Linked DNA regions of Kluyveromyces lactis. The protein of the gene in region 1 purifies or fractionates together with the protein of each later gene. This does not show direct contact. Links are inferred from orthologs where the notes say so. Each region holds a gene or a part of one and is shown in the gene's direction. Other genes may lie near its edges.

Region 1 (4,433 bases):
ACATCCTCGCGATTTGTCGTTACAAACGCCGACCAAACCTCTGGCTCTGAATCCGAAGAAAATTATGCGGATCTGCACGAATACGAAGCGGGTTATGATCAAATGCCAGAGCCAGAACAAGAGCATGGAAGTACAGATGAAGATGATTTATATCAAATGATAGGTGGATCAGAGTACGAAAGAAGGAATTTCAGAGTAGTTAACGAAGAAAAACCAAACTTTTATTTCAATGACAGCACGAGTGAAGATGATAATTCTTACATGAATACAGATACCAATTCCATAACCGCATCGCTGGCAAGACGCAGTTCTTTATCTTCATCTAAAAAAGGTGCAGCATCTTCGTTATTAAGTAATACTGAATCTCGTCAATCTTCAGCACTGGAAGCAAAGTCCATTGATAACGACACCATCAACACGACTCCGTCATCAGAATTCAAGAAAAGTTTGACCAAGGGATCGATTCCAGATAAAAATGTTCGACTCATCTCAAGCTACATAGAAGAGCTACGGCTCTTGTACTTCCCCACGTCAAATTCCTTACAGTTGCCTCCAGATCTACCTTATGCTTTGAAGAACAAGAATACTCTTGAACAACCACAAAATATCAAAGTTACAATACGAACAAGTACTAGACAAGTCGGTATAAAGCACGGCAAGGCCAAACAGAAGCTATTATCACTTGAAACTACAAAAGAAGAGGAAGAAGAAGAGGAAAATAACAGTACTACAGGCCTCAAATTCAATACCGAGTCCACAAAAGTTGATCATACTAAGGAATTTCATACTTTGTTCAACAAGGATGAAAAAATTTCCGAGGCAGACCAAGATATTCTTGATGATATTCCTGGTGATGAGGCATACGATAGCGATGATTTAATGGCACCGTTGCGTGAGAACCCAAAACAAAGAATTCATGACGAAGTTTCCCAAACGCGCTTGAAAAGATCAGATACTGTATCCAGCTATTTCACGAGAAATGCTGGTAGAATGAGAAGCGGTACTCTAGACGTAACGTACAGTCCACAGCTACCACTAGATCTACGGAAATATAACCTGATTGAAGAATCTCAAAAGCCATGTACTCCTGCAGTACATGAAAAAGGTGACACTAATCCCAAATCTCATAAATCTAGCATTTCGAATGCTGACGATGATTACGAGCTTGACGTAGCAGATTTCGGTTACTACCGCGGTACCGCTGGAACAGGATTGCATATAACCAACCCAGATTCAGAATAAACTATCATTCAAACAATATTACTGCTGCATCTATATCTTGATCTATACGTATCTTGTACCAATGTATATATTAACGTTTCTAATACCCGGTCAAATTCATTGTTACCCGTACTTTGTTTTATGTTGATTTTCAGGACGAAAATGAGATTCTGAAATAAAGAACATGCTGTTTTGGAACAGTTCTGTTATGAAATAACATATGCGAGAACCAGGAAGTTAAAAGAAGCTACACAAGACACACAGGTCAATTGAGGTATGACAGTCGGCGTCGAACAACCTGCGTATACGTTAGTGTACGACCCCAATCCAAATGGGGTCACATATACCGTATCAGACTTCCAAAAGGCATTGGAAAAGGGGTCTGATACTGAAAAGATCGCGACCATGAAGAGGATCTTGGTGACCATGTTAGATGGTAATCCATTACCAGATTTGTTGATGCACATCATCAGATTTGTGATGCCTTCAAAGAACAAGCAATTGAAGAAGCTTTTATACTTTTACTGGGAAATTGTTCCAAAATTAGATCGTGAAGGTAAATTGAAGCAAGAAATGATTCTTGTCTGCAACGCTATCCAACATGATTTGCAACATCCAAACGAATACATCAGGGGCAATACCTTAAGATTCTTGACGAAATTGAAAGAAGCAGAACTTTTAGAGCAAATGGTTCCTTCTGTCCGTGCTTGTTTGGAATACAGACACGCATACGTTCGTAAGTATGCAATCTTAGCAGTTCTTTCCATTTACAAAGTCAGCGACCATTTGATTCCTGATGCTTGTGAAGTGATTGATTCCTTTTTGGTTGCAGAAACTGATCCAATTTGTAAGAGAAATGCTTTCCTAGGTCTTGCAGAATTGGACCGTGAAGCTGCGTTGAACTACCTACAGGACAACCTAACTTCGATTGAAAATTTGGATGCTTTGCTACAAAACGCCTTCATTAGTTTCATTAGAAAGGATGCTATCAAAACTCCAGGATTGGTCTCTCAGTATGTTGAATTGTTGCAAGATCTTTTAGTTTCTACTCGTTCTACGGATGTCATGTACGAAGCTGCCATTACTTTAACTGTTCTAACCAATAAAGAAGCTATTTTATTGACCGTAGCTAACAAGCTAATTGATTTGGCCACAAAAGAATCTGATAACAACATCAAGTTGGTTGTTTTAGAAAAAATCAACGAAATAAACGAGAAGAATCCAGGCTCTTTAGAGGATCTAACATTGGATATTCTACGTGTTTTGAACGCACAAGATTTGGATGTCCGTGCTAAGGCTTTGGATATCTCCTTAGAATTGATTACGTCCAGAAACGTAGACAGTGTAGTTAAGTTATTGAGGAAAGAATTACAATCTACTGCTGATAGCAGTAACGATAAAACTCTGGAGTACAGGCAATTATTGATCAAATCCATTAACAAAGTGGCAATAAGATTTATTGAAGTCTCCTCCAATGTTGTCTCATTGCTTCTAGATTTTATCGGTAACTTGTCGTCTGAAAGTGCCAATGATGTCATTTCCTTTACAAAACAGGTCATTGAAAGGTATCCTGAGTTAAGATCTGAGATTTTAACTACTTTGATTGAGACATTGCATGAAGTAAAGTCAGCAAAGGCTTACCGTGGTGCTCTTTGGGTACTAGGTGAGCATGCCCAATCCGAAGCAGAAATCCAGAATACCTGGAAGCACATCCGTTCAAGTATAGGTGAAGTTCCAATTGTTCAATCTGAACTGAGAAGAGTTCAAAATGATGACGAAGACGATACTGAAAAGGCCCCAATAGTATCCACAGGGCCGGTAGTTTTGCCAGATGGTACTTATGCAACCGAATCTGCTCTATCTGTCTCAGAAAAGGTCAAATCCACCTCAAACGAGGAAAAAGAAGCAAGACCTCCTTTACGTCGTTTCGTCCTAAATGGAGATTTCTTTACTGCCTCTGTGTTGGCTAACTCTATCGTTAAATTGGTGTTGAAATTCGAAAAGATTTCCAAGAACACTTCTGTAACTAACGCCCTAAAGGCCGAAGGGTTGTTGATTTTGGTTAGTATCATCAGATTAGGTCAAAGTAACTTAGTAGAAAAGAAGATTGACGAGGACTCTGCTGAAAGACTAATGACGGCAATTTCGGTATTGATGGACGAGATTTCTACCGAAGAAAGTCAAGCAGAGAAAGAACTTTTGAGTTTGGCATTCTTGGAAGCTACCAACGAATCATACAAATCAAGAGTCAATGTTACTTTGAAGAAGAATGCTGCCAAGAGATCAAACTACCTAGCCAAGCACGCCGAGGCCATCGATAAATCCATCGTTTTCAGACAATTTAAGAATGCAGGCTTGCACAATACCCCCGTCGATTCAATCGAAGAAGATATAAAATTGGCTACCACCGGTACTGTATCATATTCCAAACTACAAGCTAATTCTATCACTTCAAAATTGAAGAAGATCGTCCCATTGACTGGTTTCAGCGATCCTGTTTATGCCGAGTGTTATATCACTAATCACCAATTCGATGTTGTGTTAGATGTTCTATTAGTGAACCAAACCAAGGATACTTTGAAAAACCTACATGTTCAATTCGCTACTCTTGGTGACTTAAAAATTATTGACCACCCACCTAGCACCAACGTTATTCCACATGGGTTCCACAAAATTACGATAACAGCAAAGGTGTCCTCAGCAGATACTGGTGTTATTTTCGGTAACATTATATATGATGGTGGTCACGGTCAAGATTCTCGTTATGTCATCTTGAATGACGTTCATATCGACACAATGGATTATGTGAAACCAGCAATCTGCGATGATAACAGTTTCCGTAAGATGTGGAATGCGTTTGAATGGGAAAATAAACTTCGTATCAAATCCAAATTACCATCTTTACGCGGTTATTTAGAGAAGTTGGTGGAAGTTACACATATGAAGGTTCTAACCCCTGAAGAGGCACTCGGCGACAATGATTCCAGATTCCTAAGTTGTAACTTATATTCTAGATCTACATTTGGCGAGGACGCTTTGGCTAACCTGTGCATAGAGAAGGATCCAATCACACAAGAAATTGTTGGTGAAATCCGTATTCGTTCAAAGACCCAAGGGTTAGCTTTAACCAATGGTGACAATATTACCAGAATGGGAAGAACTATGAATATCGTTAGTGTTGATCGTGTTTGAGGTTAATAATTTGAAGACTT
Region 2 (2,700 bases), about 530 kb from region 1:
TCGTAATATTGTAATGTCACTTTGCAGATGGTGAACGCAACTGCCATCCAAAATAAGACATAGAATCCAGAAAAGTCTGTTGCTATAGTTTCATTTGCAATTTCAATAGTATTATTGTCATCTATCCTCACCGTATTTGATCTGGCTGTTGCCTTTACTCTAGAATATTTCTCGTCTATTGCTGGCCCATTGAAATGAGATCTAAGCGGATTGTTGACCATCTCATCCATGATACTACCTCTAGAGCCCCAGTCTACATCTCGTGTCATGGACTGCATTTCATTCGTATCCTTCTTATATCTGTTCTTTTCCTTCACCTTCAATTTCTGCATGAAAACATGCAGATGTTTGTCGCCTTGTTCGGAGGTGGTTCTAGTCTTAAAGATAACCGTGTCGTTAGGCTGGACCGTGTTGAAAAGAACGTCCGGAGATCCAAGTTCATCGAGAACAGCATCCTCCAACTGTTCCTCATGCAAAGACTTCCTCTTCCCATGGTTGTTGTCGTTCAGCCTTCTTATCCTCAAGAACTGCTCATCCTCAGTTATATCCTTAACGGTGGTATCATGTGAACTGTCACTTGAACCGGACATTATGACAGGTTTTTAATTAAAGATCCAGTTAAATAAATCTTTTATGATATATTAACGTGGATTGACTCTTCACCATGAAATTAGTCTGAGATAAATCTAGGCCAAGTCGTGATTCGTCTTAAGAAGGAAAAAATTCTTGCTAACCTCTCTCTCTCACTCAGACGTTTTAAATATAAATCTCAAATCCGGAATTAACCAATGGTCGTAAGAAGTGTACTGTTAATTACTGAATCTGTTTCCTTTTCCAACCCGTATCGTTTAAACGTCCAAAGTAACTGGCTCTGAATTTCTTCTGATAAATACTCTCAATCCCTTAAATAAACGCCATATGGTGATCCACACCTTCGAGAATTATTCGAGAAAGGAAAAATACAAAAAAAAAGATCACGTGAATGAAAAACATCCATTACCCTGATCCTGTCAGTTTTTCAGTTTTGGACAATTCGCATGGTGGATCAAAGTAAGATAGCATATGGACTCTCAATATTAAAGGATACGTGTGAGATAGACCCGTTAATGAGCCAGTAAAGTCGCTTTCAATACACGATAACGGTTAATTGAAGTTTTCCGACGTCAGATTTGTTGAGAAAAAAATATCAACTCAGAAGAAATGGACTATTTTACTGTAAAACAGCAGTTTTATACTGGTAACTATGAAGAAGCGTTGAACGAAGTTTCTAAGTTTAACAAAACTGAAGATGAGGCGTTGACTTACTACAGAAATAGATCATTGATTGCATTGTCCCAGTTCAGTGAGGGTAGTGCTGATTCTGGCTCACTTGGGCCTGTATTTGAGGCTTACTATAAATTTTTAAGCAAACCTACAGGCTCAATCACTGCACTAGAACAAACCGTTGAAAAGGCGGGCAGATCTCCATTTGCATTGAACTTATTAGCAAGTGCATTGACTATAAAGGGCGAGTTTAAAACTGCTTTGGAGGTTGCCGTTGAAGGAATTGACTCCGATGAAACAAGAGGAACCCCGGAACTACTGTTAACGGCCATCCAAATAACTTTGTTGGATAATCAACCAACCATTGCCTCGACTATGTTTGAAAATTTCCAAGCACTTCAGGAGCAATCGAACGACGATGAAATAATTTTGAATCTTGCAGAGTCATACATCAACTTCAACCAGGGTAAAGAGATCACTGGATCCAATTTCTATTTCTTTGAAGAGTTGTCTCAAACTTTCCCAAGTTGGAAGACTCAATTAGGCCTATTGAATTTACACCTCCAACAATCGCATTTGCCTGAATCCAAAGCAATCATCGACCTCTTAGAAAGCGAGTTCTACGATATCAAACAAGAAGCACAAACGTACAAGCCTGATCTACTTGCAAATAAGATTACGTACACCATCTTATCTGGTGGAAATGCAAACGAATTGAGATCGGAATTGCAACAATTGAAACCATCTCACCCACTATGTGTTGCCGACCTTGAAAATAACAAGACTTTCGATCAAATTGTGGCAAAGTACACAGCCTAAATCTATATATATCAAATAGATCTTGAGTAGCAAATAGTATTGGTATTGGCGATACTTTCCGGGTAACATTGTTCTTTTTCCCATCAATTTCGTGGGAACTGTCAAGATAAAGCGGATTGATCAAACATCCTATACAATGTGAAGGGTTAGTTTTGAAACCAGTCACTCGGTATCGTTTTACAAGGCACCTGCGTTGTATTTAGTTCGAATATTCAGGGGAGTTGATCTTCTTATTTTGATTGTCGATCTAATTCTACTTTAGTTTCCCCCGAATTGAGCTGTAATTCACACAGAATTTGGAGTTTACAAGATGGCTACTGAATTGTCTGATGCTGAGAAACGTAAATTGTTGAGGGAAAGAAGGCAACAGAAGTTTTCCAACGGAGGTGCTTCCAGCAGGTTGAACAAGATCACTGGTCAACAGCAGAATAGCTTTTTGTCTTCAACATCTGTTCTTGATGAGCCAAAAGTTACTCCGTCAGGTAACAAGAAATCATCCAATGTGAGTGACGAAGAAGTTGAAAAGTCTACCAAAGAGATTCAAGATTTACTTTCTAGTATTCCCGGTAACAAGGACAATTCTGAAACTGATGCCGCTGAAACGAATCCTGAGGTTGC
Region 3 (4,127 bases), on another chromosome or scaffold:
GTCAAAATCAAACCCAGGGCCAACAGCAACAACAGCAACCCCAAAATATGCCTCCTGGTTTGCAACAAGGAATGCCCCACCCAGTAGTAGAAAACAACCAACTTCCAGGTCAGATGCCTGGGATGGGCCAAGGGCCAACTGCAGGACCAAGTTCAGTTCCTGGGCCAGGTCCCACACCAGCAGGAATAACACATGCGCTAGATGATCCAAATGTCTACCATTGGATATGCCAGCTCACTTACGGGCCAAGCAAAGAACAAGCGCTTCTAGAACTAGGTAAGAAACGTGAACAGTATGAGGATTTGGCTATCGTGCTGTGGTCCAGTTTCGGTGTGATGACGTCGTTGCTAAAGGAAATAATTTCAATTTATCCGCTTCTTTCACCTCCTGCATTATCAAACCAGTTATCAAACCGCGTATGCAACGCTTTGGTGCTCTTACAATGTGTCGCATCACACCCAGATATCAGGCCTCAATTCTTACAGGCTCACATCCCGTTGTTCCTTTTCCCATTCTTATCTACGACATCAAACCAAAGAACTTTTGAATATTTAAGGCTAACTTCACTAGGTGTCATCGGTGCTCTAGTGAAAAACGATTCTGCAGAAGTGATCAGTTTCCTTCTAAGGACAGATATTATCCCATTATGTTTAAGAATCATGGAAAACTCTTCAGAACTTTCGAAGATCGTCGCTATCTTCATCTTACAGAAAATATTATTAGACGATAACGGACTCCAGTTCGTATGCGCGACCCCAGAACGGTTCTACGCGGTGTCACAAGTTTTGGCAACTATGTTTAAGCACATGTCCCAACAACAGGTGCCGGGAAGATTATTGAAACATGTTGTAAGATGCTACCTAAGATTATCGGATAATTTAGAAGCCAGAAGATTGTTGAAACAAGTTTTGCCGCAACAACTAAGAGATAACACCTTCAATGAAGCACTACAGGACGATGTAGGTACCAAGAGATGTCTTGCACAACTACTCCTGACTCTAGATGAACAGCAGCAGTGATCTTGCCTGCTATATCATATATATCTCCATATCCATATATATATATATATATACATATATATCATAATTAAAAAACAAGTGTTACCCTCACTTTCACACACCCGCTTCACTTTTTTTTTCATTCCAAAGGACTTCTACCGATTTGCAAACTGAAAACATTATGAATATAAATATATACCATACCACACGGCAAAAAGAATTGGATAAAACACGAGGTTAATAGGCTCAAAATTGGCTACTAAAGGTTAGTACGTCATTTGAAGGTATCCTAGCACTGCCAATTGCATGTCTGCACAAACTTATAAGAAGTCTGAGGACCCACACAGTGGGTCCTTGCCAGACAAAATGGCGATCTATCAGGATTGTTTGAATCGGTTCAATGAATCTCCTGTGAATCCTAAACTGTGCCGTACCCTGATCACAAGCTTGTTGGAACTATTGTCGCATGGTGAGACTTTCCCTAGACAAGAAGCTACTGCTTTATTCTTTTCCATTTCGAAATTGTTCCAACACCCTAACGATTCTTTGAGACAAATCGTTTACGTGGCTATTAAGGAATTGTGTGGAATCTCCGATGATATCTTGATGGCTACTTCTTCAATTATGAAAGATGTTCAAAATGGTTCAGATCTAGTGAAGCCTAATGCTATTAGAGCATTGATCCGTGTCTTGGATGAGTCCACTGCATTTTCTGCAGAAAGATTATTGAAAAATTCGTTGGTTAGCAAACATCCATCTATTTGTTCTGCTTCTTTGGTCAGTTCATACCATTTATTACCAATCGCTGAAACTACGGTGAAGAGATTTGCTAATGAGACTCAGGAAGCCGTTGGTGATTTGAAACAGTTGCCATATCCAGATGAGAACAGTAGATATTATCCAACTACGTCTCATATCTCTCAATACCATGCATTGGGTTTGTTGTACCAATTGAAGAATCACGATAAGATGGCTTTGATCAAATTGATCCAACAGTTTGCCGGTCATTCTTCACCATTGAAAAATCAATTGGCTCAAGTACAAATGGTTAAATTCGTGCACCAATTGGTTTTGAAGGATCCTAACTCCATCCCCCAGTTCTTACCACTAATAGCTAATTGGTTGCAAAGCAGACACGAGGCTGTTGCTTTGGAAGCTTGTAAGCTTACTGCGTCTCTATCCAACTTGGTTCCTAACGATTTGTTTGCAGCAGCGGTTTCTGTCTTGCAAGGATTCTTGTCCACTCCTCGTGTGACAACCAGATTTGCTGCAGTGCGTTTGTTGAACAAGATTTCTATGGTTTCACCAGAGAAAATTGTGGTATGTAATCCACAATTGGAATCTCTTGTTAACGATAGCAACAGAAACATTTCCACTTACACAATCACTACCTTGTTGAAGACTGGTACCGACAAGAACATTGGTTCTTTGATTAAGACAATTACCAAGTTCATCCACGAGGTGAATGACGATTTCAAGATCATCATTATTGATGCTATTAGAACTCTTTCTCTAAATTTCCCTGAGGAATGTGATACAATATTACATTTCTTGATGGAATCCTTACAATCTGCCGAAGGCAGTCTTCAATTCAAAAATAGTGTCGTGGAAGCATTAATTGATTTAATTCAATTCGTCCCACAATCTAAGGAAAAAGCTTTAGAAGAATTATGTGATTTCATCGAAGATTGTGAATATAATGAAATATTGGTTAGAATCTTACATCTATTGGGTAAGGAGGGTCCAACCACTAAGAACCCGTCATTATACGTGAGACACATTTACAATAGAGTTATTCTAGAGAATTCTATCATCAGATCTGCTGCTGTGTTGTCTCTTTCCAAATTTGCACTTGTTAAGAATGACCCTGAGTTAGTAGAAAGTATTGAACAGCTATTGACTCAAATCAAGACTGATTCAGATGATGAAGTTAGAGATAGAGCATCCATTGCTTTGCAATTCATCGATTCGGTTAAGTCCAAGAAAGATGTTTCCAATATCGCACAAAATTTCATTCGCCCAACTTCTACCTATGACGTTGTTGCTCTTGAATCAAAACTATCACACTATTTGTCACAAGGCCAAGAGGCATTCAAGACTCCATTTGACGTCTCGTCAGTTGCCAAATACTCCGAAGACGAGAAGAAGGCATTGGATTTGAAACGCAGACAAGAGCAAGCCTTCAACCATACAGAAGAATCTTCCAACAGTGGTGCCGGAAATGGTAACGGTACTGAAAAGGGTGGTAGAAAGGGTGATAGATTGGATGACAATAGCTTCAATGGACCTTCATTGGAATCTGAAGAAGAAGATTTGCTATTGTCCAAATACGTGGATGAAATGTCCTCCTTGGAACAATTCCAGTCCTTTGGCAAGTGTATCCATTCTTCCAAGATTGTCCCATTAACGGAAATTGAAGCTGAATTCGTTGTGAAGGGTATCAAGCATTTGTTTGACGAGCACGTTGTATTACAATTCCATATCACTAACACATTGAAGGACGTTGCGCTTGATAACGTTGAAGTGGTATGCCAACAAGAAGGATTATCAGAGGGTTTACTTGACGAACAAGAGGAATTTGTTTTGCCTATTGAAAGACTCTTACCCAATGAAGGAGAGTCATGTTACGTATCGTTCAAGAAACTAACACAGAACAAGGATGATATCATTGTAGAAAGATTCAGCAACTCGTTGAAATTCCAATCCAAGGAATTAGACCCATCTACCTCTTTGCCATTCGAAGATGACGAAGGGTTCCAAGATGAATACGAATTTGATTCATTGTTCTTGAGTCCCGGTGACTACATGAAACCATCATTCGTAAGCAATTTTGCCACCTCTTTGGAAGAACTACCTTATGAATCCGTCTCTGTCTACAACATTGTCGAAACTAACACACTACAAGAAGTCATCGACAAGTTAGTCATTAGCGCTGGTGGTTTACCTTTGGAAAACTCACAAATAGTATCCCACGATGCCACCCAACATACTCTAAAACTTTCAGGAAAATGTATCTTAGACAACACTAAAGCCCTGCTTTCCATCAAGATGATCAAGACAAGTAAGGGTATTGCAATTAAGGCTCTAGTGAAATCCGACAAGGAATCGTTGGCAGAAGACTTATCAAAC
Region 4 (4,366 bases), on another chromosome or scaffold:
TATCATCCACAAGATCTTTTCTATACGGTAGAGCTACCGTAAAAATGAAAACAGCTAGAGGTCGCGGAGTTGTTACTGCAGTGGTATTAATTTCAACTGTAGGTGATGAAATTGATTTTGAATTTATTGGAGGAGAATTACATCATGCTCAATCTAATTATTATCACCAAGGTGAATTAAATCACACAAGGATGGAAAAGCTAGAACTAAGTTCTGACAGTTTTGAAAATACTCATATTTACGAAGTCGATTGGGACCAAGATAGAATCAACTGGATTGTGGACGGTGTAGTAGCTAGAACATTATACAAGGAAGATACATGGAATGAGGAAAAACAAAGATACGAATATCCACAAACACCAATGAGATTGCAAGTGTCGGTGTGGCCAGGTGGAAGAGAAGATGCTGACCCTGGTACCATAATGTGGGCTGGAGGGCTCATTGATTGGGAAAACTCGCCCGATATACTTGAGAAGGGTCAATTTTATGCAACTGTGGAATCAATAGCCGTTACACCTTACGAAAACAAATTCTGGCCATCAATAGTTGATGAACTAGAAAGATTACATTTACCTATTGATGCTAATTCATTGTTAGATATTACTTACGATTACAATTATGACAAGTTTAATGAGCATACGTGGTTTGAAGATTCAGTCATTTGGAAGAAGGGCAAATTACCTTATTTATCTTCCTTGGACAAGAATGGCCTAAATCCGGGAAGACAGCAACAAAGTCTTTTGGTAGGTAAACAATTGAAGCAAGAGCAGGGAGATGGGCCGGATCAGAGTCCTTCAAACAGGTTTATTCAAGACACTAATAAACCATCGGAAAAAAATCATGAAGAACAAGATTTGCTCCTACGAAACGCTCTGCAGTCACGCGATGCTACCACAAATGGGGGTTCCAGTCACAATAACAGAAATCCTATCAAAAGATTGCTTAATATGCTACATTAATCAGTAAAGGTTGCCCAGATGTTCACATCTACACTATACATGTATAGATATATAGACCTATGTATACCACTCTCGTATATGCTATCTCTTCTAGCATTCTCTTACGCATAGAATCTGTAGAGATGCGTCTGGCACAAATTCGGGTAATTATTACCCTACCATTACGTCCTTTGCATACTCTTCGGATTCTTCCAATTTTCAAAAAGGACAACTTTTCAAATAAAACACGATCTTATTTCAAAATAGTAAGCCATATGTGTATTTTAAGTAATTTTATGAACCTTGAATGAAGCTGACTTTGGCTAATAAACAACGATCAAGGTACTTTGTCGTCTAATTGAGTTGTCAGTGAGGACTAACCATCGAAGGAAAGCTTCAATCGTAACCAATTGGTATATTGTTAACTGCAATTGTGACGTTTTCTTCCGAGTTATTCTTCTTATATTTCTCACAGTTTTTACTCAGATTTAGATCGAAGTCTTGAAAAGCTTGCTTTCATCATGAAGATGTTAACTAAGTTCGAATCAAAGTCTACCAGGGCGAAAGGTATTGCTTTTCATCCGTCTAGGCCTTGGGTTCTGGTAGCACTTTTCTCATCAACCATCCAATTATGGGATTACCGTATGGGTGTTTTGCTTCACCGTTTTGAAGATCATGAGGGTCCGGTACGTGGCATTGATTTCCATCCAACGCAACCTCTTTTCGTTTCTGCAGGTGATGATTATACTATCAAAGTATGGTCTTTAGAGAGCAACAAGTGTCTATTCACATTGGACGGCCATTTAGACTATGTTCGTACAGTATTCTTCCATCACGAATTGCCATGGATTATTTCCAGTTCCGACGATCAAACCATCAGAATCTGGAACTGGCAGAACAGAAAGGAAATAGCATGTTTAACTGGCCATAACCACTTCGTAATGTGTGCCCAATTCCATCCAGTCGAAGATTTGGTGGTTTCTGCTTCTTTGGATGAAACCGTTAGAGTTTGGGATATTTCAGGGCTAAGAAAAAGACATTCCGCACCAGGCACTCAATCATTCGAAGAACAAATGAGACAGCAACAGAACTTACTTGACGGAGGATTTGGAGATTGTGTGGTGAAGTTCATTTTAGAAGGCCACACTAGAGGAGTAAATTGGGCTTCTTTCCATCCAACTTTACCATTGATCGTTTCCGGTTCTGATGATCGTCAAGTGAAATTGTGGAGAATGAGTGCCACAAAGGCATGGGAGGTCGATACTTGTAGAGGTCATACCAACAACGTTGATTCCGTCATTTTCCATCCTCAACAGAATCTCATTATATCAGTTGGTGAGGATAAAACCGTAAGAGTATGGGACTTGGACAAGCGTACTCCAATTAAACAGTTCAAAAGAGAAAATGACAGATTCTGGTTAGTGAGAGCTCACCCAAACCTAAATCTGTTCGGTGCTGCTCATGATTCTGGTATTATGATCTTTAAGTTGGACCGTGAAAGACCACCAACTGCTATAAACCAAAATCAGTTGTTCTTTATCAACAGGGAGAAACAAGTCCAAATGTTTGATTACCACAAGAGAATCACTTCTCTACCTTATCTTTCTTTGAAAAACATCGGCAAGACCTGGAGTTCATTTAGAAGTATGTCTTATAACCCATCCCAACATTCCGTCCTTGTCAACTCCTCCGAAAAGGAAGCCAACAGGTTCAGCTTATGTGTCTTACCTAAACAACCTAGTGGAGCTGTTGAAGCTAGCAACGTCATCTCTGATGATGGTAGTTTTGCGATCTTCGTTGCTCGTAACAGATTTGTGGTGCACAATGGCAGCACTAATAGCTTGGAGGTTCGTAGTTTAGATAACAAAACCACAAAGTCAATCAAATTAACTGATACTGTTAAAGACATCACATTAGCTGCTCCTGGTACTGTTTTGATTCTATATTCTCATTCTGTGGTAATGATGGACGTCCAACAAGGTAAAATTCTTCATGAATTATCTTTAAAGAACATCAAGTATACAGTGTGGTCTCAAGATGGCCAATATGTTGCATTGATGAGTAAGCATACATTGACAATCGCAAACAGAAAACTGGAAATCGTTACATCAAACCATGAAAGTATTAGAATCAAGAGTGCAAGTTGGGATGAAACCGGTGTCCTAATTTATTCAACATTGAACCATATCAAATACTGTCTATTGAATGGTGATTCTGGTATCATTAAAACCTTAGAAAGAACATTATACATCAACAAGGTACATGGCAAATTTGTCTATGCTTTGAATCGTGAAGGGGAAGTAGAGATTTTGACAATTGATCCTACTGAATATCGTTTCAAGAAGACTTTAGTCAACAAAAATTTCCCTGAGGTATTGCGTATCATTAAAAATTCAAATTTAGTTGGTCAAAACATCATATCTTATCTTCAAAAATCAGGCTATCCTGAAATTGCGTTACAATTCGTGGAGGATCCTCAAACAAGATTTGATTTGGCTACACAATACGGTAATTTGACAGTTGCTCTTGAAGAAGCTGAGAAATTGAACAATGAACTTGTATGGGAAAGATTGGGCAAAGAAGCTTTGATCCAAGGTAACACAGATATCGCTGAATTGGTATATCAAAACACTAAGCAGTTTGATAAACTGTCTTTCCTATATCTACTTAAGGGAGACAACTCCAAACTGGCAAAAATGGAGTCTATTGCTGAACATAGATCAGATATTTCCGGCTTGATTCAAAATACCTTTTACAATAACTCAGTTCAGAAGCGTGCAAATGTCTTTTTAAATGCAGGCTCTGCTCCTTTGGCTTATGCAGTGGCAAAAGCTAACGGCGACGATGACCTTGCCACTTCCATTTTGGAATCCGAAGAAATTGATGAGCAAGACATTTCCCTACCAACTGAACTCAACTCCTCCACAAATGTAAAAACCCCTGTCATTTCTGCTCCTTTGAAAAACTGGCCGTTAAAGCAAGCTGAAGTCTCATTCTTTGAAAAAGCCCTTTTGGGCCAAATCGAAGATCTTGAAATTTCTGATGATAAGGAAGAAAATGTTTCAGATACTACCCAAAATGTTGGCCAGTTTGATTTAGGAGAACAAGATAACCTAGACTTTGATGATGAAGCTGTTGGAGAGGAAGAAGATGCTTGGGACCTAGACCAAAATGATTTGGAATTAGACGACGAGTTAGAGATCGAAGAATCCGAAGTGACTGAAGAACAAGTAGATGAATCAGAATTGCCAATGTGGGTTAAAAATTCAAAGCTTCCAGCAGTTCTAGTAGCCGCTGGAGCCTTTGATGCTGCTGCCCAAGCCTTGAATAAGCAGGTAGCCGTTGTAAACTTCGAACCCCTCAGGACACCATTCATTGATATATACGATGGTGCAAGAACTTATATGAGTGCTACACCAAATGAATTA
Region 5 (3,554 bases), on another chromosome or scaffold:
GGTTCACATTGGGCTTCGGATATTTCGTTAAGCCATGGCATTTGGATGAATCAGCACTACAAACGTTACATAGACCGCTACAGGACCAACGGACCGATGTATTGGATAAACTTAGGGCCACAGAATGGGTCAAGAAACTTAAAGAGTCGTCTGATTATATGATGCATCGTCAATCGGAGAAGATCCCTGTACCTCATAGAGATTATCACGTAGGTCAAGGGTTGCTTTACGGACCAACTAAGCTTGAAATTGATCCGGTGGTGTTTACAGATAATGCACAGAACAAGATCCACGTCATATATCATTTGGGCCACAATTTAGGCAACGAAAAGAATGCAGTGCATAAAGGTGTACTTTCATTGCTATTAGACGAGGCTTTGTGTTTCTGCGGGTTCCCTACACTTCCCAGTAAGCGTGGAGTCACTGCATCTCTAGACATATCGTTCCAGAAGGATGTTCCAGTTAATTCCACCATTGTGCTCAACGCCCAGGTCATTGAAACCAAGGGAAGAAAATGTATCATTACAGGAACGTTGGAATCACCACCTCTTGATCCTTCTACGAAACTGGGATCCGTAAAGTCCTTAGTGGCTAAGAGCGTACCCAATTGGATATACAACCCTAAACCGACCGTCTACGCTACTGCAACGTGTATTTTGGTGGAACCTAAATGGTTTAAATACGTTTCATGGATTAACATATTCTGATCTAATACCACCTTAAGGTCTCCGTTATATATGCCAATAATATTATATTTAGTTCACATACTACAACATTCAATATTAAGTATACCATATGCTAGCATTGTACTGGTGCTCGGACATGATGAATACCAGTTAATTCATCATCCCATTCCCACTATTGTATTGTTTGGTCCGGGTAATAATAATACAGACTATTCATATCTGCTATTTTCTTTGACATCTTTAAATTGAAAGATCGAATTTCTAAACAGAAAAGGTTTTAACACAGGACAGAACGGTTATTCAAATTTTGGACCGTTAAGGAACGTAGTTTTTGGTCTTAGTTAAGTTTTTTACACTGCTGGTAACATCATAACAGGTGCAACAGACTACTGTACACACTTTGAGCGCGGGAGGGACACGCCGAACTTACAGAAGTATTTTTCGCAAGTTATTATTAAGGTGGTAAGAAAGCGTGTTATTAAGTACTCTGTTTTCTAAAATTGATACTTAAGAGTTTTTTCTTGCGATTGATCTAGCTTTTGAGATACGATCTGAATTTACCAGGATAATCTGCTACAGGAACGTGAATCTTTATTGCCGTATCTTAGCATCAACTTATTAACTTAACACAAGGGTGTTTTTTTTTCCGGAATTTCAGCATTTCATTATCATTACAAGAGGATTTATTTTAATTAAACCATGGCTAGCATTGACGAATCGGGAGAAGTGTACTGTGACAAGGAAGTCGTGACTAAAGTGTTTGCTAGACTGACAACCAAGTCTGAAAACAGGGCATGCTTCGACTGTGGCGCCAAAAATCCTACCTGGACTTCAGTTCCGTTCGGTGTTCTTCTTTGCATCGATTGTTCCGGTGAGCACAGAAATATGGGTACCCATATTACTTTTGTGAAGTCAAGTAATTTGGACAAATGGACTGTCAACAATTTGAGAAGGTTCAAACTTGGTGGTAACGATAAGGCAAAGGATTTTTTCTTAAAGAACAACGGCAAACAATATTTGGGTTCTTCTAGCAACCGGATGGCTAAATATACAAGCCAGGTAGCCAAGAAATGGCAGAGCCATTTGAATCAAAAAGTGGCTAGAGACGCTGAACAACATCCAGGTGAAATTGTATTTTCAGCAGAAGATGAACAAGAATTCACAGGGGGCAGTTCTGGTTCTTCAAAGAGCAACAGCGTTGATGATTTCTTCTCAAACTGGGAAAAGCCTGTAAACCAAAGTAACATATCTTTGACGTCATCTCCTAGAAATTTAACACCAACCAATACTGGCAATAGGAATGGTTCTTCTATTCTGTCCGGAAGTGGTTCTGCCAACAAAACCAGCAACGGTGCTAGATCCACTACAACTAAGAGAACTACTTTGACAGGATCAGCAGGCTCTTCTCAAGCAAAGAAACATTCCATCCTTTCCTCCTCTCGTAAGTCAAAGAAACCGGTTGCAGCCAAGAAGGTGGATGCTGATTTGTTTGATCAATTCGAAAAAGAAGCCAAGGAAGAGGAAGAATTGGCCTCAAGTCTCGCCACCACTTCCCTTAACTCCAATAATTTATCGAATTCCATATACGATGCCACTCCTGCGCCATTCCAACAAAAATCTGGTTTCAGCTCTAGCAGCAAAATAACCAAGCCATCTACCAATGTCGAAGACGCGGAGGACGACGAATGGTCCAACAGATACAATGATGGTATTACTTTCGATCAAATCAATGCTTCCAATGTAGGATTAACTGGAAGCAAAGATGCGGCAAAACCAAAGTTGGCTAAACTTGGGTTTGGTATGACTTCCAATAATGCAGAAAAGGAACAAAACAAAACTAACGAATCAAGGAGGGCTGCCTCTGGTCCAAAGTACACAGGTAAGATTGCCCAAAAATTCGGAGAACAAAAGGGTATCTCTTCAGACCAGGTGTTTTCTCGTGGAAGCTACGATGACGAGGCAAGTAAAGAAGCTCAAGAAAAACTCAGACAGAACTTCAGTAATGCCACATCTATTTCTTCAGCCTCATACTTTGGCGAAGGCCAGAGCGAAGATCAGTTCGACGAATTTGGAAGACCATTGAATCCACAAAATGGAACAAGAACAAACAGAAGCGGTTCTCTTGGCGGACGAAACTTCATGGAGTTCACGTCTGGTGCTGATGACGAATTTGACCTGTTGAAGAACGCTGTTGAACAAGGAGCGCAAAAGCTAGGAAACTACCTAAGAGATTACATGAGAAATTAATTCCTATGTTAGTTTATTGTAAGATAAAGTATAGTCATTCATCAAGGAGTTAACGTTAATAGTATCAGTGCCATAAGTTCCCCATAAGTTCCCTTCTATGAAAAAAAATCTGAACAAAACTTTATGGCTTTATTGTAATAGAAACAAATAAACAAATAGATGAAAGCTTGTCCTTAATAGGATACCCTTTTCAGTCACACATCTCTTCGTTGTACCATAATATGAATACCGCCATTATTTGGATAATAATAAATATAGGATCATTCCAAACACCCAGTGTGTAGTCAGAGTTTGAGATTTTTCAACACACCTACATTTTCCAAGGAATACCAAGTGTCTATTGTGCTTTACGTATTATTTAATGATTATTTAGTAGCTTGAGTAGCGAAATAAGGATTATGCAATCCAGTGATCATGACAATTATTGATTAAGTAGCATTTAGAAAGTTGATTTAAAGAATGATATGTTCTTGAAAGACAAGAAGATTAAGGTCGATTCGAAGTAAGATATTAACGCGTAGTCATGGGCCATAAACAAATCTTGTCATGTCGGAGGTATATCTCGTGTACAGTTCGAGAAGAAAGAGGTGAAGAAAGGAGTAAATGAAAGTCCTGCTGAAC
Region 6 (3,661 bases), on another chromosome or scaffold:
GCCAAAATGGAGGATAAGTGACGAAATTATCAAAAGACTAAATTGGAATCCATTCAAAGAGTTAAACTTGCCAAAAAACTCGGAACTACTTGAATCATTAAGAGATGTACAAGTTAGATGTACGTCCTATGCGCTTGTCTTCAAAAGAATTCCAAGTTCCAAAATTGATTTGATGGTATCCAAAATTCCCGTTAGCTTCAGGAGTGTAAATGCTATCAGTTATGATCAGTTCGATCCAAAATCTAAAGAGAATGTCCAAGAGTCTAGTCAGTGTATTGATTCTCTTGCAAATGAGGAAACTACTGACGTCGATGAAGTGACAAACAAAAGGATAATGACAAGTGGGAAACGCTCTTTCATAAACGCAGATTTAGTAAGCATAATAGCAGCCAAACGGTCCAAATTGAAGAGACTCTCCATATCTAATGGTGATGTTAACCCAGTTGCTACTCTGAACGAGACAGTTGAGCAATCTACAATGTCCAATGTCACTTTCCAATTAAGCGATAAAAGTTTCCATAATGCTGAAGAGAAAGTAATCATTTTTAATGCAGAGTATATTGCCAAAAACTACAAGTTGATCAATTTCTTACATCAGAACAACTTTTGTGTGCTTGAGATGGATTTGGGGGATCATTCGGATATCTTGTTAGACGCATCTACCTGTCTCATTCTTCGAAATATTACTTCAGTGTATCAGAAACAGGTCGACAGCTTCCCGTTACTCCGAGCAATACAAGAATTGAAGTGTAAATATAAAAGAGTGGTAATCTTCTTATCGTACTCAGAACGATCGTTAGCGTTAGATTCCAACTTAGCTTACAAGACCCAACTTTTATTAAACTGTCTCGGTGGGACAACAACTCATCTAGTTGAGGAAACACAACTCAAATTAACAGCAACGTGGATTTCATTATATTGTGGTACCAATACGCCCAATGAACAGCAAATTTATCGCATGAGCCTTAGCAAAGAGGTCTTACAACATTTCGACATCAATCCAATCGCAATTGAAAGTATTCTGTCACTCACCTCATTAGAAGAATTCTTATCAATAAGTTATGGAAAAAGAGCCCTACTATATGGCAAATTTCTCACAGAATACCAACTAGCTCATATTGATGATTTTGTGACAATGAGTTGGTCAGAGTAAATTCATTCTCATACGTCGGCTCGAATGAACCTTACCCATCCAAGCTAAACTCACGATCTATTTCAACCAGTCATATTGAACGAACTCTTCTAGTATTGGTTTCCTGATTTTGATGAACCTTTTTTTTCCCTTCGAAAATGGAACTGAACCAAAACATATCAAAATAGAAAACTTGAAAATAGTTAAAAATGTACGAACCTGGCAAAGCTGTATCATTCCGAAAGCATAATAGTCTCGTTAAAGTTTTGATTCAGGCACCAGGAAACCTGTGACGTGATACATTGAGAACAGGGCTTGATAATCATGGTTGTACTAGCGGTTTCTATCACTACTCGTAAGGGTAAGCCTTTATTGTCTAGACAATTCAGAGATATCACGAAAGATCGTGTTATGGAATTGTTGTCGAATTTCCAGACTTTAGTTGCCAATTCCTCAAAGCAGCACACTTTTGTTGAAGATGAACATGTCAGATATGTTTACAAGCCATTTGATGATTACTATATTATTTTGATTACGAATCTTCATTCCAATATAATCCAGGATATGGACACGTTGAACATTTTTGTGCAAACGGTTGATTCTACTCTGAAGGGTCTAAGTGAGGAAGATGTTTTCGATAGTGCGTTCGATATCTTGAACTCATTCGATGAAATCATTACTATGGGCTACAAGGAGAATCTATCTTTAACTCAGATTAAGACCTTCTTAGCAATGGAATCTCATGAGGAAAGAATACAGGAAATTATTGAACGTAATAAGGAATTCGAAGCAGCGGAAGAAAGAAAGCGTAGGGCAAAAGAGATTTCGAGAAAGGAACAAGCAAGAAAATTGGGTATTCCGGACACTCAGGAATTCACCGGTATCCATGGTGGTGTTATGAACAAGGCGTATGACAGTTACTACAGCCATGCTTCATCCGCGGCTCAACAGTCACACATGCACACGCAATCTAATCAAGGTATTCAACAACAGAATTTAGCACCACAGCAACAACAGCAACAGCAGTATGCAAACCGTGAGCCTTTGGGTGGTAAAGGTTTGCAAGTCAATGGGCCAAGAAGAGGCGTTGAAAGACCGATCAAGAACGTGGAAAGACAATCATTATCAGTTCAAACAGCAACTCTGCCTGAAGAAGAAAAGCCTATCAACAATGGTATTTTAATTAGCGTAAAAGAAACTATTAACGCTGAAATTTCCCGTGATGGTGCTATCATGGGCTCAGAGTTAAAGGGTGTGTTAGAATTACGTGTTAATAACCCTGATCTTGCACATGCCAAACTATGTCTCGGTACAGACGTCAATGTCAAGGACAAAACGTATCAATTCAAAACCCATCCAAATGTGGACAAGGCTGGTTTCTTAACTAACAAAACGATCGGGCTAAGAGATCCTAACAAACCATTCCCATCCAATGATCAAAGTTTGGGTGTGCTAAGATGGCGTAAGGTTAAGGGTGCTGATGAACATGATTTGATCCCATTAGAAATTTCAACATGGTTGTCTCCATCTTCAGAAACGGATAATGCCATTGATGTTACTTTTGAATATGAAGTCAACAGTGATTACGAAGGAACTATCGATGAATTACGCTTCTTGATTCCTGTCTTCACCGATACTGTATTCATCAAAGATGATCTAAACGAGGCTAATGCAATCGTAGAGGCCATTGACGAGTCCCAAGGTATTATCATTAAGGTGGACCCAATTGAATCCGGTCAGTCAAGCGTATTCAGTGTTACTGTCCAAGCTGCTTATGAAGATGCGTTATTCCCTATCGAAGTTGCTTTAAAGAACAGCAATGCCAAACCATTGTCTAACCTAAATATTGCTTCTGTTGTATCTGCCGCAGATGACACTGAACTACCATTCGACACCGTATCTACCTTGAAGAGTGAACAATATGTCGTAGTGTAATTGCACTTTGCAGTATTAAACAGCAGCATGTGTCTCTAGCAGAAAATACTGCTACTATATAAGTAATCCTATACATGTTTGTGTATTTTTAAGAAGTAATGTACAGTGAACTCCACCAAAAGTAATAAAAAAAGCCGAAAACTGAAGAAAAAATGGTAATCTGATCCGTATGCAATTGATTAGATATGGCCTGTTAATACCTATTGCAATACGATCGGCGCATCTTGTGTCCTATCTTACCCATTGCCTGCTTTCATTTGTTCAAAGTTCCTATAAATCTACTACTATGTAATGAGAAATTCAAGATTCAGTGAAATTGAAAATATCAACATTAACTTAACTCAGACCTTGCATGAATATGTTTTGCCACCGAAATAAAGGGACAGAGATAGACAGCAACCAAGATGCCATCGTTACCAGAGCTAACCAAGGGGTTGAAGACTGCCTTTGAGGGCAAACAATATGAAACATGTTTGAGATTACTACTTCCTATCAAGATTGAATTGATTAAAGCAAAATTGTTAATACCTGATATCAAAAGCGCTAAGGAAAATCAAAGCTATCTACAGGATCTGAATATAGCAAAGAAGATAC

What was found.
Region 2: the proteins of SEC26 (region 1) and SEC28 purify together in Saccharomyces cerevisiae (affinity purification with mass spectrometry; 5 studies listed by BioGRID). This does not show direct contact. The link is inferred for Kluyveromyces lactis from reciprocal best matches to the Saccharomyces cerevisiae genes SEC26 and SEC28.
Region 3: the proteins of SEC26 (region 1) and SEC21 purify together in Saccharomyces cerevisiae (affinity purification with mass spectrometry; 4 studies listed by BioGRID). This does not show direct contact. The link is inferred for Kluyveromyces lactis from reciprocal best matches to the Saccharomyces cerevisiae genes SEC26 and SEC21.
Region 4: the proteins of SEC26 (region 1) and COP1 purify together in Saccharomyces cerevisiae (affinity purification with mass spectrometry; 8 studies listed by BioGRID). This does not show direct contact. The link is inferred for Kluyveromyces lactis from reciprocal best matches to the Saccharomyces cerevisiae genes SEC26 and COP1.
Region 5: the proteins of SEC26 (region 1) and GLO3 purify together in Saccharomyces cerevisiae (affinity purification with mass spectrometry; 4 studies listed by BioGRID). This does not show direct contact. The link is inferred for Kluyveromyces lactis from reciprocal best matches to the Saccharomyces cerevisiae genes SEC26 and GLO3.
Region 6: the proteins of SEC26 (region 1) and RET2 purify together in Saccharomyces cerevisiae (affinity purification with mass spectrometry; 5 studies listed by BioGRID). This does not show direct contact. The link is inferred for Kluyveromyces lactis from reciprocal best matches to the Saccharomyces cerevisiae genes SEC26 and RET2.

What each region holds. Positions count from the first base shown.
Region 1 is NC_006039.1:1,328,992-1,333,424, reverse strand, and holds SEC26 (coatomer subunit beta), read left to right. Parts: upstream 1-1,497; coding exon 1,498-4,413; downstream 4,414-4,433. Other genes in the region: KLLA0_C15301g (uncharacterized protein), read left to right, coding at 1-1,242. UniProt on the Saccharomyces cerevisiae protein: The coatomer is a cytosolic protein complex that binds to dilysine motifs and reversibly associates with Golgi non-clathrin-coated vesicles, which further mediate biosynthetic protein transport from the ER, via the Golgi up to the trans Golgi network.
Region 2 is NC_006039.1:798,620-801,319, forward strand, and holds SEC28 (coatomer subunit epsilon), read left to right. Parts: upstream 1-1,200; coding exon 1,201-2,082; downstream 2,083-2,700. Other genes in the region: ARE2 (sterol acyltransferase), read right to left, coding at 1-590; GET complex subunit GET2, read left to right, coding at 2,393-2,700. UniProt on the Saccharomyces cerevisiae protein: The coatomer is a cytosolic protein complex that binds to dilysine motifs and reversibly associates with Golgi non-clathrin-coated vesicles, which further mediate biosynthetic protein transport from the ER, via the Golgi up to the trans Golgi network.
Region 3 is NC_006041.1:1,173,203-1,177,329, forward strand, and holds the start of SEC21 (coatomer subunit gamma), read left to right. Parts: upstream 1-1,304; coding exon 1,305-4,127. Other genes in the region: CCR4-NOT core subunit CAF40, read left to right, coding at 1-1,019. UniProt on the Saccharomyces cerevisiae protein: The coatomer is a cytosolic protein complex that binds to dilysine motifs and reversibly associates with Golgi non-clathrin-coated vesicles, which further mediate biosynthetic protein transport from the ER, via the Golgi up to the trans Golgi network.
Region 4 is NC_006042.1:478,776-483,141, reverse strand, and holds the start of COP1 (coatomer subunit alpha), read left to right. Parts: upstream 1-1,459; coding exon 1,460-4,366. Other genes in the region: CRR1 (putative glycosylase), read left to right, coding at 1-959. UniProt on the Saccharomyces cerevisiae protein: The coatomer is a cytosolic protein complex that binds to dilysine motifs and reversibly associates with Golgi non-clathrin-coated vesicles, which further mediate biosynthetic protein transport from the ER, via the Golgi up to the trans Golgi network.
Region 5 is NC_006041.1:616,746-620,299, forward strand, and holds GLO3 (ADP-ribosylation factor GTPase-activating protein), read left to right. Parts: upstream 1-1,385; coding exon 1,386-2,933; downstream 2,934-3,554. Other genes in the region: MRX3 (Mrx3p), read left to right, coding at 1-707. UniProt on the Saccharomyces cerevisiae protein: GTPase-activating protein for the ADP ribosylation factor (ARF) family. Involved in retrograde vesicular transport from the Golgi to the endoplasmic reticulum.
Region 6 is NC_006040.1:975,814-979,474, reverse strand, and holds RET2 (coatomer subunit delta), read left to right. Parts: upstream 1-1,456; coding exon 1,457-3,067; downstream 3,068-3,661. Other genes in the region: ZIP2 (Zip2p), read left to right, coding at 1-1,153; proteasome regulatory particle lid subunit RPN12, read left to right, coding at 3,472-3,661. UniProt on the Saccharomyces cerevisiae protein: The coatomer is a cytosolic protein complex that binds to dilysine motifs and reversibly associates with Golgi non-clathrin-coated vesicles, which further mediate biosynthetic protein transport from the ER, via the Golgi up to the trans Golgi network.